2 linked regions of the Lepisosteus oculatus genome follow. The protein of the gene in region 2 binds, or shares a complex with, the protein of the main gene of each other region. Links are inferred from orthologs where the notes say so. Each region holds a gene or a part of one and is shown on either strand. Other genes may lie near its edges.

Region 1 (7,515 bases), on a different chromosome or scaffold from region 2:
GGAACACTGCATCTGAGAGAAAACAAAGCCATTTTAACACAACTCTGGAAATAATTAGAAGTGATTGCTGAAGTCTAATTTATTCTACAGAACTACAATTTTATTAAGTATGAAAAAGATGCTGTCACACAATCTAAACACTACTTTTACAATGAGGTATAAATAAAACACAAGGACATTATTCAGGTTAAAATGACAAATACTGCGTTTAAAGGAACCTAAGATGCTGAATTATCTTCTCATAAAATTATCTGCACATGCCACACCAGCTTAGCCACTAACCTTGTGGGATTCACACAAAAGGCCCAAAAGTAAATACATTTACTGATTGCTTTTAGGAAGATGCATGAATTCTAGCAAAAAGAGTCCTAATCTAAATTACAAAACAGTCCTATAAATGTGGTATTTCTAACTATTGTTCTATTTTGAGGTTAACATTGTAAAATGGCTTATAAATATTTTATTTCTTAGCAGCACTCTTACCTTGTTTTCCTGAGTGAGGATTAAGCACTTCTGTGATTCAAAAATACATTATTTTAAAATAGCCTTACCAATCAGTTAGTTGTGCTACAGTGTAATACACCCTGACAGAAACTGATAGTGTGCCTCACAATCTCCTTGATGTACATTTTACTTACATCAGTATTCTTATTAAAAACATTTTTACCATATCAAGAAGAACAAAACTTAATAATTAATAGTTTTATTACCTTTAGTATTACTCTTTCTGATATGGGTAAGGGTTAATGTTCAAAATTAAAACATCTTTTACACAGCTTCAGCAGACACTATTGCTAATCAATTATTATTCTGATATGAAAAACAAAATGCAAAAAATGAAAAGCAGAAGATTTTTTTGGCTAATGCTGTTAAAATAAAAACTTACCATTTCCCACAAGGGAGGCTATGGCCTCAGCTTCTGGCCATGGGGAGGTCTTAAAAAATCTTTCAGTCAGCTTATTCCAGCTACAGAGAAGAGGGAGAGAAGTGGTATAGGTACACAGACCTTTATTTAACAACTGCAAGCCACCTCTGTTTGAAACAGTACACATAAACAAAGGACACAAATACAAACACCTGTAACACCTGGCTTTTCATAAGAATACGTCTAATTAAAAAATGGAAAAGAAATGTGCAATTTAGGAAAGACAGAGGCTACATGGAGAAAATAACTTGAAAGACAAACCATTTACAGCAGGTGAATCACCAAGCAGAAGACGGGGAGCCACAAATTTACGAAGAGCACATTCAATTAAAGCCAATTAAAGCCAAAACATAGTGCTTAAGGTCATAAACTGGGATCTTTTAAGAACCACATAATTATTGACATCTGAGGAATCTGTAAGCTTTGATGGACTTAAAGATCTGTTTTCTATTGTACTTGTTCTCAGATGCTTCTGAGCTAAAGCAGACATATACATTTCTGCTTTTCCTATTCAAAAACATGTTTCTGCTGGTAATGGTTTGTGTACTCTCAGTGAGCATGTGTACTAGAACCTTGCGATACCTGTTCTCATATACATCCTGAATCTCATATATCTTCTGCTCAATGCTCTCGCTGGACACTCGATTGGCTTGCAGCTCATAAACCTTCTGATCAATGAGGTCTGAGATCGTTTTGTGAAAGTACTGCAGGAAGTTTTTAATCACTTCTGGGATGACATGGTAGGTCTGTTGCTCATACTGACGCTCATAAGCCAGGTCTGCTTTAGGGTCACCTGAGAGACAACATAAGAAAGGCAAATGTAGTGTACAAATATTACCAGTAGTCAGCTTTGCAAATGTGTTCATGCATATATCTTACATATGAATCATAATAATAATAATTCTTACACTTCTATAGCACTTTTCTGGAAACTCCACTCAAAGCGCTTTACAGGTAATGGGGACTCCCCTCCACCACCACTGTGCACAATCCACCTGATGTGGTGATGGCAGTACACTCCCCACACATCACCTGAGTAATGAAGCCAATTCATAGATGGGGATTATTAGGAGGCCATGACTGGTAAGGGCCAATTGGAACTTTTGGGGTTTGGGGGTTACACCCCCACTCCTTTCGAGAACGCCCTGGGATTTTTAATGACCACAGAGAGTCAGGACCTCATCTGAAGGACAGCGCCTTTTTTTACAGCATAGTGTCCCCCGTCACTATACTGGGGCATTAAGACTCACATTGAGTGGGTGAGCGTCCCCTGCTGGCCCCACTAAGAAAGCAACCTTAGTGTTTCCCAGGAGGTCTCCCATCCAGGTACTGACCAGGCTCACACCTACTGAGCTTCAGTGAGTTGCCAGTTGTGAGTTGCAGGCTGATATGGCTGCTGGCTGCTGGAATAAACTATTTTTAATTGAATGGAATCACCCTGTTGGGGATGAATGAGCCGAGAGCTTACGTTTTTTTACTCTTAAAACACTCACCCGTGTGCAAGTCGTAGTCACTGGAGTAAGAGTAGGGATCATACTGCCAAAAGAAAGAAAACAGCTGATAAATTAAAAAGGAAAATGCAGACAGTCCATTTTAGAGCTGTAAAATAGGCTAACATCAGTCAACACCCCCGTTTTACTTAAAAACGTTTAAACATTTGGAATTCGCAAGTGTCAAATGCAATATTTACCAATATTCACAGGGAGCAACACAGTTATTCACACCCGATGCACAAGAATACACATGATGAGGTATAAACTAATGTATGAGGTAGTTGACCACCTAAAACAATACTCTTTATTTTTTGTCAAACGGGTAGACTATACGTCGGAATCATAAAAACGATAAATTAATGTATTTCCTTCCAATTACACCCTCGTCTATATGTACGTTACTATATGTAACAATTTGAAGATGACCACTGTATGCCGCGGGCCTCCGCCTGTCGGCAGCTCTATTTAGGAGAGTGATTATTTCATGTGCATTATTCGACTTTTTCCAGAACGAGTATAGCGTTACTCACAGTACTTACATCTCCGTCTACGTCCTCGTTCTGGTATGACATGGTTTTAGGATTGGTCCCCTTTCAGTCTGTAATAGATTCCAGCTAAGAATACAACCATGCAACACACATAACGTGCACAGGAAAGAGGAAAAAAGGGCCTTCACTTCCGGAGTAAAACCCGACGTGCTGTGCATTCTGGGATTGTGGTGGAACCGGCCGTGGTACTTTTTGCTTGTGTTAAAACTACCAGTCAGTGCAGACTCAATCATGGGGGGCGCTGTTCGTAGAGAGGTTGTGATCGAAGAATAAGTGAATGCAATTGACTGCCCTCTGCGTTTTACGATGTTAAAAAATACGGTATTGTGACAGCAGGTGTAAAAACAGGTTTCGCTGTTAAACCAGTAATCTGTGGTACAGTGTAATACATGTGCTTTATAATCTTGATGCATATTTTACTTACAAAGACATAAAATGAAAGTTGCATTTGTCTTGTATTACGAAAATCCTGTGTCCATAAGAGTTCATCTAATAGTTCTATTAATGTTTCTTTTAATTTTATTTTCAATACATAAGAAATAAAATAATACGTTTGCTAATTCTCTCTCTGCATCACTGGTGTGGACAGGCATATGCAGATCCGAGGCTCACAATGAGCTATTCAAAATATCATAAGATTTATCCAAAGGACATGTTTTCTCCCGTTATTTCACAGTAATGTTACTGTCAAAGTCGGAAACGAGACATATGCTTAGGGAAATTTAATTTGTCTTAAGAATGGTTTTTGGAATAACAAGCACAGTCGATTCTCCGTTTTCTAGCACTGGAAACAATCAGGTGCTGACCTTCCTCTATTCCCTCTATTTCTAAAAGAAGAGGAAATGTTTGTCAGCAACTAGCTGTTATTTGTACTTGCTATATGTGTTGTTGATTGTGTACTTTCCCCTGCATTAGGTCGTGGTTTTATTTGCCAATAGTAGGAACACTATACTGTAGATACTGTAGCGAGATGGAGTCGGCGAGGATGCAGACAGGAATCCATACTCTTTTTAGAATGATACCAATGAAGTCGACAAGTTTTACTACATAATCAAGGTGTCTTCACCGCACCACGATTTACATCGATTGCCCATATTGCAAATCAAGTTCGACGTCTGCGTGAACTGCTATGGAAAAAACGTAACCAGGTCAAGCATCCACAAAATGAAGAGTGTACACAGCCACGCAGTTTCTCAAGAAGCACTATGTTGCCACAGCTGTGTATTCAAAACGAAAGAATGCATGTAACCGCTTCTGCCTGCTAGCGCTACCTGGTCAAGTCCTGAGTCCCGCTATTTATGCAAATGTATTTCCACGCCTGTACTTGCACGGGCATAATCACATACGTTGTTGCAATGCACGGTTTAAAATAATAAATAGGCAATCTGTGCAAAATACAATGTAAATGCATGTAAGAATGTCAGCTATACTCATCAGTTTAAACCTAAAGTGTTACACACAATCTACACAAAAATGAATTATGCATACTAACGAAACAATTACGTTGTCGTGAAACTGCCTAATCCTAAGAGCTATTGGAACATCGACAGAGGTGGGGGAAGTGTGAAGTGTACCACTTATTGCTACACAATGGAAAATACCGCGATTCAGCTCCTCGAATTCCTAGTCACATCCGAAATAAAGGACAGGCTCCATTCTTGCGTGAAATGTTAATGGTATTGGAAAAGGCAACTTGCTTTACAGGGCTACATGTTTGGAAAGTCGTCAGATACATTTTACAGTTAATCGGGCATAAAATATACATCTGATCAGAAACAGTATCGTTTGGTATAACAGTAAATCATACTGTATATCAATGATCCCAATGTATTACCGTTATACTTTCTGAAAGGTGATATATGCTAGTCTTGCTACAATTACCACAGTGTAATTCTAAGCAATAGGAATCTCCCAAATGAATTGTTATGTTACTGTGATGGGAACATCATCATTACTGTACGTCGGTGGTGAAAACTCTTTGCTCTTTAATGTTACAGATTTTAGGAGTTCTAGCTTAATCACATAATATCGAGGTATGTTTTCAGCTTTGGAAGATAACACCCACTATTATCTTTCTATTAAATAAAACCACTACAAGGTTTACATTATGCATTGTCATCTTGTACAGCAAGTACCCATGTTGGCTTTTTGTTATAAAATATTTCCCTTTCTTTAGAAATGTTGGCTGACTTTTAAATACACTTCCACACTTTTACATAGGATCCACTTGTTTCTTCTGGTTCACGTTTCTACATTAAGACTGAAGAAATCTACTGGGGTGATGGTTTCTGTGCCTATTCAATATTATTATCAAAATTATATTAATAATAATAATTCTTAATGTTATTCTTCAGGATTTACCACATGAACAAGGCACATCTTTTTCCTATCAATTAATTCAAAATAATTTGTAATTATTTCACCAGATACCTTAAACTCTAGTTCACACTGACAACCTGGTTTTTACCCACCTATGCAGCAGGACACATACTGGAGCAAACTGAGAGAAGCACAGTACTTTGCTCAAGGGGACGACAGCAGGGTGCCACCCAGGAAGTGCAGTCATGGCCTCCTGGTTTGGTGTCCAGAGCCCCTCGTTACTAATCCACACTCCCACCCCCAAATCCAGGTGTGACAAAATCCACAAGGTGTGTAATCCAGCCCTTTGAAAAATAACCTGAAGGCTGCTGCAAGTCTTCTAAAATAGGAAATCAGTAGCTGGATGAACAGCAAGACTGTGCCTGGTAAGTACTGAGATGGGAGACCTCCAGGGAAATCCAAGTTGCTGCTTGATGCTTCAGGTGACACTCTTCCCAGTGGGCCGCAGTTTCAAAAGCAATGTCTAATGACAGTGCTGTAGCCGGTGTCATACTTTGGATGAAATGTCAAACCAAGGTCCAATGCATTGAGCGTCATTGCTTGTGGTGTTTTTGTTTTTTTTTGGGGGTGGGTGCCTCCAAATCTACAGGTAATAGAGTTGTTAACCCCACTGTCAAGGCTAAGCTCCACCATGGGCTTGCCCAGTTGGGCCTCCTAATTCAATTAGAAAAGCAAATGCTGATTTCCCTTCCCAATCTGTTGTGCGGCAGGGCTGCTCATCCAAGTGAATACTGTGCTTCTAGTCTCTTTGGGATCCTTTGGAATTAAAAGAGCTACATAAGCGTAATAATTATTTTTAATTAAGAGACTTAAACAAATGTTCCCTTAGGATGGAAACTGCAATATTAGAGTCTGCCAATAGAGGGTGCCGTTCGCTCACAGTTAAAAGTCATCGAAGAGCCGAATGTAGTTGAAAAAAGTAGATTTAAGTCTTTCTTCTGTGTGAATTTCTTCTGTTTTAAAGTGTTAAACGAATCTCAATTTCAACCCCTTTTTATTGTGTACAATCAACTACATTCTAATTTTAATTTGAATGCGTTTTATTTTTTCCCACAAAGGTTTCAAATACGAATAAATACTACCAGATAAAGTAGAGGTAGCCTAAATATAATGAACATCGGGAAATACATTGATGAGGAAACTAACAACAAAAGGAGAAACAGCATTATTATTATTAATAGTAGTTTTAAAATATGATTAGTAGTAATATTAAAGGTGTAAATACTTAGTTTTAACTCAAAAGCCTTTTACCCAAAAAATAATTAGACTAGTCTTTTTCAGAGATTTGCAGAACAAAATAATGCTTATTAGAATATAGGCTAAGCTATAATACATCACTTTTATTGTAAAACTGAATCAAATTCACCTCTCATGTTAATTACACTGTGCTGCTTTTTATATGTAATTAATCAGCAATACATACTGGTGTGGTGGCAGTGCACTAGACTTCTCATTGCATTGATGCTTAGAAATCAAAAACGTTAAAATGTGTTTTGTATGTTGCATAAGGAATTATTTGTAACCAGGCTGATGTTTGTCTGTGTTCTGTGAAAGCCTGTACCTTAGCAAGTCCACTGTTAAAAGTATTTTGTCCTTTCATACTTTTTAATGGTTTTATATGTTGATGTATTTTAATGAAATTTAGGAAACACTGGTCAAACAGGGTAGCAACCATCTTTCTAAATAAGAGATTCCTTTAAAAAATATCAGATACAAGCTTTCCATCTTCATTCCTCAAGCAGAATAACTATAGTATTACAAAAAGAAATAGAACTATTATAGAAAAACAGTTTTAACAAAACCACTTTTTTTTCTCTGACTAATACCATATTAACATGGGTAGTATTTGTCTTCATTAAATAGTGCTTTTGAGGAAAAACTGTCATGAAGTATGATTTTCTTTACCTTTTAGTTTTTTGGATTTTTGCTCTCAGTTTAATAAAACGTTCTTTTAAATTGAGATGCAGAAATATTTTATTTAATAAAATGTAGACAAGAAACAAAGGACATAAACCTGTGATGACAGCACTTGTTTTTTTAGGGCACGTAAACATTCTATTTTCACACAGGAGGTGTCAGCTCATACTTAATTTCTCAGATCAGTAAACTGAGGAACAAGACTATAAATTACAAGGTTTGTAGCCAGAGTGCCTGTTTTCTACCTTTGCCA
Region 2 (7,314 bases):
GGTGTATCAATCTTTCTACTTTTCGGCGTGAATTCACTTTTACTTGTTCCTTTGCTGCCAACGCACGCCGACACAGCTCCCCACTCAATCCTCTGCGAGTTACCTCTGCTTTCCTACTAGACACGTGGGGAGCTTGAATGGCTTTTTATATGAAAACTATCCCTGTCACGTGTGACACAGGTATATAGTGTGTGGTTACCGAGCGGCTCCGATACTCACCCTCTGTTTAATTTCTTCCTGCTTCTTCTTTAGTCGACTCTCTTTCTCTTTAATCTTTTCAATTAATTTTTTCTTCTCTGAAACTTTTACTTCTGGATTATAAAGCAAAGCAAAAGAAGAAAAGCACAAGTAAATTATTTATTTTTGTTTATTACTGTGCAAAAAAACTGATAAAAATGACAATTTCATTCACTGTTATTAAACAGACTAAAATAAGACTATCTGCTAAATGCTGGCTTTCTCCTTTCTCACCTGTTTTTTTCTCCTCAACCTTTTTCCCCTCTTCCTCCTCCTCCTCATCGTCATCCCAATTGTCCTGCAGAAGGAAAGGAGCAGGTAAAGTTTTTTTCAAGACATCCCACAGCAGCTCACGGTCTAACTGAAGTCTCTACCGTCTCCTGTAGCTAATTAGACTGCCTGCTTTTGACTTCAACTGACTGGATGAACTTGTTAAAGTGCTATTTTCTCTCTTCATAGAAAGCGCAAACCCTGGTCAATTTGTACGTCCAGTCAAAGGAATCTTCTCCCACAACCAAAACCAACATTAAACTTCACTGTCAACAGGATACCAATGAAGAAGGTGCCTTGGTCATTCAATGAAGACACTTCTGTTTTAAGCTTATGAATAACATGAACCACATGCATGTATGTTTTATTAGGGTCAAGGCTAACTATAAAGATCTCACTGGTCAGCAGTCAGCAGTTGACCTTGTGCCAGTGCTTGAGGATAGGACCAGGAGAGTTAGGCTCACTGGTACCGAAGACATTACACTGCCACTTGCTCTTCCTCCGAACATCACACACACAGGCACGGACAGCCATGTGTGTGCCAAGAACTGGAGGTTCACATTACACCGGCTCCTTCGTCACTCCTGCTGCCCTGCGCAGTGTGCGTTTTTAAACAAATGAACAAATACTGAAGTTCGCAAACCTGAACCGTTTTAACTTTTCTGTTGCCATTTATACAATACATTACACAGCGCTTAACTTTACACACAAAGTGGTTTTAAACTGAACGGCACTTTCTGGACAAATCATCAGCAGTCTTAATGCTTGATTTCTTAGAAATAGATCACACCCTGTGACCTTATCCAACAATATCTCTGCCCTCTGTTAGCTAGCTCAGCTCATTTCAGGGTCAAAATTATCTTTATATCTGAAAGGAAAACCAGGAACTACTGTAAATTGTTTGAACAATACTTTCCCATAGTGCAATATATGAATCCTGGTACTCAACCAAACGAGCTGATCTGCGGGTGTAAGCTGTTGTACAGTAAGCACTAGACCTTTCTGTAGCATTATTGACTCCCTGCCAGGGAGGATTCTGGAAAAGATCGAACAAAGACTAGGGGCTCACAGAAATGGTTCTAGGAATACTCATTGTGTCTCTGATGTCACCAGTGTCTTGTTTCAGCTTCAATAACCAACAGAACCTGGGTTTAGCCTGGGCCTACTAACCTAATAGGAAACGTTCACATTTGATAGATGTATAAATGGATCCCACTGAGATCCCTCAGAGACAGCAAAGTCAAATGTGGAAAAAAAAAGATGAACTATGGAAAGAAAACACTGTTACAGGTAAAGGATAAGATCCGGTTAGAAACAAATGTTAAAGCTTCCCAGTTCACGACCTATACCAAACATTCCAGGTTAGCCATTGCTGAAATACAGACATAGTGCAGAGGAAAGGTACGTTCACAACATAAACCATTAGAACTAAACATTCCTTATGTAACGATTAATGCAAAAGCCACATCCTCCATTTAATATTTCTAAGAGGTAACTCTGTGAGGTATGACTATTTAAACTTTTTAAAACTTCGCTTAAAAACCATCAAATCCCCCCAGAACTACAAACACACGTATTGCTCGTTGGTTATTGACATCAAGAGCAATAAGATGACTTAACTGGTGTCGTCATTTCTCTAAAATCAAGGTTAAAAAAATGCACCGGCTGACTCAAACTAATGCAATCCAGTCCGTCATCCGATCAGGCCCAAAGACGGCATGACTGCTCACTCCTGCCATAGTGCGCCTCACTCCCCCGAGTACTCGCTCTCTAAACACACGCTCACTTTTAATCTGTACAGCTCCGTGTGTAACGACGGGAATCCAGCGTTATCTTTAGACGCAGGAGCACACGGTGCCATCACTTGAAAGGAGGGGTACTGTCACGCACTCCCGCTAGCTCTTCTTCAGAGGCGAAACGCCGACCTGCCACGAGTAAAACATATGGGCACGACTCGCAGCGCGTCGCCCTCGTTCAAATCGACTCCCGACAACTCTGCCGATTCGCAGCAAGTTGCTGAACACGGGCTACTATAAGAAGAAAATAAAAACACAGACGGGGGCTCCTGTGAAAACTGCCGAAGCGGAGCGAATACAGTCAGCCGCTCACTCGCTCTCACATGGCCTGTCAGTGCGTCTATACCGGCAGCCAGCGTTACACTCTTTCCGCACAAACACAGCGCGGCGCTCGGAAAACTGCACAGGAGGGAGAGAGAGACAGCCACAGCATGGACAAAGCGGATCTGCAAACAAAACCCAGATCTAAAACTAGTAGTGTACCCTCTTGGTTGCTGACTATAGCGGCCAGACAGCAGCGCCCGGGCCCCCGCGGCCTGTGGCGGAGGTCCCGCTCCGGGCTGCCTGGACGCCCGTATCTACCTTCACATCTTCCTCCTCGTCTTCGCCTTCCCACCGATCTATCGCGGCCGCCTTGTTGATCGGCTCCTCCGGCTCGAAATAGTCCGCGTCTGTCAAAACACAGAGAACAGACTGTCAGCCGCGGGGAACAGCACCGCACGCATATCCCATTTCTGTATTTTTTTTTTCAAAGGAAACCAGTCACTCCCGTCGGAGAGTCTTACCCCAGGAGTCAACATCCGCCATCTTTGCTCGCTTTCGATGTGTGAGTGAGGCTGAGTCAACGAGCGAGCAGGTCCTACTGGGCTGGCGGCACCACCGCGCCCTGGGAATGATGGGATACAGGAAGACTGCCGCTAATATGTTCCATCTCACCCTCTGCTGGGAGTGTTGTGCTATAGCAATCCAACCTCTTTTATCCAGTCAAATGTATTATTACACCGTCCGGCGCTTTCAAACTAACACCTGAAGAAGGCTCCGCAGCCGAAACGTTGTGTCTTTTCTTTTTCTTTTGGCATGGAATAAACCTTTACCTGTTCCTTTGCAGCCTACCCGTGCTGACGCTGCTACCTACTTGAACGCTTTCGAACTAATCCTAGTCGCCTAATGTTAATTCGAGCAGTTGTATGACTATTGACAGATTGTTTCATTGAGCCTTTTTACTATATAGTAAAAGACGCCGCTACCATTGTCTGAGGCTGAGCTCAGTGAACGCTTTACATGTGTTGAACTTCGGGTCGGTCGGTGTGCAGTAGAATATATATACTGTGTGGTTGTGCATCAGCGCTCCGGATCTGGAATACAATCGCAGGAGAGACCGTAGAGATGCTTGATTTCGTTTAATGAGCAATGTTTGAACATCCAGATGCACACAGGACGGACGATATTCTCTACTATACAGAAGTTTTATTATACCGTCCTTTTTATGATATTTACGAAAAATAAGTTCAATACAATAACCATATGAAATTCACACATCGGTTTTTGTCGTGTTATACTAGAAGCACACATCAGGCATTTAAATTAATCACCAAGCACAAAATTAGTAAAATATTGTGCAGTATCACTCCAAGTAGATTTAAAATTATTACAATAACAAAAATAAATCTTGAAAATATATAACAAGACGCTCTATTATATAATTGTACTTAATAGTTGAGATCAAGGAACTATATAAGTAGATTAATTGAATATACATTTAAAATAGCACAATTTAACATCTTAATTCAGTGAAAGCAGTAAAGCAGTATGACGATAATTACATGACGTTTTCATTTATAGTTTCATATGAGAAATACAAAAAGGAATCGAAATGTGAATGTATACAGTATATTCCGTACGAGCGGTACAAAGCCTGAAAAAGCAAAACAAAGATAATTAAAACAACATTCACAGCAGACTGAAAAATAACGAAAAGAATATAATGACCCAGCTCACTTTTTAAGAAATAGTCTCAGTTTTTACAAATATGTGAAGACATCAGCCATTTTTACGTTGCGTAAAAAGGGATATGTGTAAAACACGTTTTACTCCAGGACTGTCCAACCCCGGTTGGACAAAGGTCTCTAGAGCAGCATCACCTGCAGAGCTGACGGGAGCTGTTCAATCGGTCCAGTTAAACCAGTAACCAGCTGGTTTATCTCGTTCAGGGCGGAGCTGGAATGAAAACCCGCAGAGTCACCGGCCCTCTGGGCCCAGGGTTGGACAGTCGGTGTACACCACACTATTAATGTCCGCAACATTTCGAGACAAAGAAAAAAAAAGCCTTACAGAAAATTCCTTCTAATTCCGCAATAGCCGTGGAATAACAGGCGCTTGATAATAAGTGCTACAACTGACTTTATTATTCATCATTCGTGATTAACATCATCATTTGCTTTTAGTCTGTGCCACCTTAAAACACACCAAGAGGGCTGGTGTTTTGTGCTTTCCTACTACAGTATAAAACGTAGGCACCTGCCATTCAGTTTTAAACAATGTTCTCTAGAATCCTAGTTTTATCCACTTTCAACTGATGAAAAAATAGGTAAGTCTCTCTATTGTGGACCATACTAATGATATTGGTTTACCAATACCAATATTGGTCAAATGTGGGGAACAGTAACTACATCATCTCAGTTGTAAACCCACACCCCTGTGACAGGACCGCATAAATGTGGAGTTGAAGCAGACTTTCCAACACAATCCTAAGAACACGCTGTTAGGCTCCAGATGCCTTTAGAGTTGAATCTGTTTATGGACACATATCTGACAGTTTGTATCTAAATATTTTTTCTTCATCCCAATATTTACTTGGGAAGTATGTTATTTCTGCACCTGGGTAGCATAATTCCAGTTCTTTTCCCACCCACGTTCTTAATGATGTAATTTAACTGATTGCTGTATTTAATTTGATGAGATGAGTTCTTTTCCCCAAGTCTTACTCTCTTGATGATCAACAGAGAGCTGCAAGGCTGTGGGACTGTTGGACTCAAAGATTTATGCAACACTAATAGAGACAAAGGAAGAAGGCCAGTAAATTAGAAATTAACTACATTGCAGGTGGAGAGGTTGAAAAGCAGGTAAGGAGTCCTCTGTGTGTGTATGAACATGTGTTTGTGTGTGCTTGTGTATTTGTATGTGTATCTACATGCACGTGTTTGTGTGCACGGTTGTGTAGTTGCAAATTAGTGTGTGTGTGCTAGTTTGTGTACATGCACAAGAGTGTGCTAGTGTGAGTACATGCTCATGAGTGTGTGTGTGTGCGCATGTACACGTTTGCGTGCATGCACAGGAGTGTGTTCTAGTGCGTGTACATTCACATGAGTGTGTGTGCTAGTGTGAATACATGCATTTGTGTGCATGTACATGTTTGTGTACATGCATGAGTGTGTGTGCTAGTGTGCGTGCGTATGCACATGAGTGTGTGTGTGTGTGTACGTACGTACATGCACATGCACATGCACATGCACATGAGTGTGTGTGCTAATGGTGTGTATTCACATGAGTGTGTGTGCTAGTGTGTGTGTACGTATGCACATGAGTGTGTGTGCCAGTGTGTGTGCAAGCACATGAGTGCTGCGCAGGTCTGGCTCAATGAAGCAGGCTGTGTCCAGACAGGAAGAACGACAGCAGGCCCAGGAACAGCACGGAGGCGGCGGGTTGCAGCGACAGTCCAGTGGACCTTCCTGTCAACGAGAAGAGCAACACTGAGGAACTGCACTCTGGGTAGCAATCAACAGCAGCAGCAGCACCGCAGAGAGAGGAGCACGTCAGGCACCGCCTTCTCCAGACATTTGTTTCTGTTATTGTTCACCTGCCAAACACGCTTCGTATTTCCAGAGATTTCATGTCAGTGTGAAGGATTTAAGTTACCACTCTAAGAAGTGCTCAGGTCTGGGAAGATGGAAAACACTTGCTGTCCTACAGTATAGCTGCCTTCATAGCTCTTTTGTCTTAGGCTCCATTACAACTCTGGAGTGACACACCAGTCCATCCTGTTCATATCACTGGGCTCTGGGCGTGACGATCTGTCTGGCTGTTTTGCCAAGGTCTCTTTCATGGGAGAAGTGAGAAGAAGACAACCCACACACTACCACACTAATGTAATTACTGAGCCACATGTTCTTTATTGAAATCAGCGACAAAAGCACAGCGTTCGGCTCCTTCATTGTGAACAAGTATCAGGTGAACATTCAGTGTTGATGAATATTATATGAGTATCAAGGTGCTGAGGATCATTATAAAGTGTGAATGCTTGTTCCAGGGGCATGTGCTCGTAGGTATTATAAATGAACTGCCCTGAGGATGGCTCTGTATCTGAGATATTTAGAGTATTTAATGTCTTCTTTGTGCTTTTCAGCCTGGAATGAACCTCTGCTCATTCCATTACACGAATCAGGCTCAGAGTAGTTCCGTCTGGCCATAGCGAGTTTCTCAGTGTAAAGCAGTATGATGTGAACGGTTATCTCTGCATCTGCTGTTGCTATATGCCAAGTTGACATTTCTAGCTATCCCCCTGCTCCTGGTTTCTGGAAAGCCATGGTCAAAGCAGATATTGACCAGGCCATGTCAACATGAGGACCATTGTGGGTTTTTTTTCCCCATTGACTCAATTTTCGAGAACGACCAAGAGATTCAGTTTCTTCTTACAAGTTTGGCTGATAGCTGTGAGATACTAATTGTGGTGAGAGGCGCTATATAAAGCGTAAGGTAGTGTGTCGCACCCCTGAAGTCCACGGGCTTGTCCTCCCAGGGCGTCAGCACCATGGACAGCGCTGTGAGCTGCATGCTGCTCAGGGCCTGGCGCTGGCTGGAGGTCACAGCTGCAGCCTGGTCATAGGAGAACATCCGGATCTGGTCCGGACTGAACACCACCTGCTCAGGGGCAGGAAAGGGGGCAAGGTCATGAAACACAGGGACAACACTCATACAGGAAAGGACATTTTCTTAACCGCTGGTCAGATTTTTG

What was found.
Region 1: eif3jb (region 2) and eif3s6ip share a complex: the UniProt entries of both Homo sapiens proteins name them as parts of the eukaryotic translation initiation factor 3 (eIF-3) complex. The link is inferred for Lepisosteus oculatus from reciprocal best matches to the Homo sapiens genes EIF3J and EIF3L.

What each region holds. Positions count from the first base shown.
Region 1 is NC_090712.1:11,362,614-11,370,128, forward strand, and holds the start of eif3s6ip (eukaryotic translation initiation factor 3 subunit L), read right to left. Parts: upstream 3,096-7,515; 5' UTR 2,991-3,095; coding exon 2,949-2,990; intron 2,462-2,948; coding exon 2,419-2,461; intron 1,719-2,418; coding exon 1,508-1,718; intron 967-1,507; coding exon 887-966; intron 514-886; coding exon 484-513; intron 13-483; coding exon 1-12. UniProt on the Homo sapiens protein: Component of the eukaryotic translation initiation factor 3 (eIF-3) complex, which is required for several steps in the initiation of protein synthesis.
Region 2 is NC_090700.1:47,205,066-47,212,379, reverse strand, and holds the start of eif3jb (eukaryotic translation initiation factor 3 subunit J-B), read right to left. Parts: upstream 3,201-7,314; 5' UTR 3,111-3,200; coding exon 3,089-3,110; intron 2,975-3,088; coding exon 2,886-2,974; intron 1,063-2,885; exon of another isoform or gene 927-1,062; intron 536-926; coding exon 472-535; intron 312-471; coding exon 220-311; intron 1-219. Other genes in the region: strc1 (stereocilin), read right to left, coding at 5,937-6,031, 7,070-7,220. UniProt on the Homo sapiens protein: Component of the eukaryotic translation initiation factor 3 (eIF-3) complex, which is required for several steps in the initiation of protein synthesis.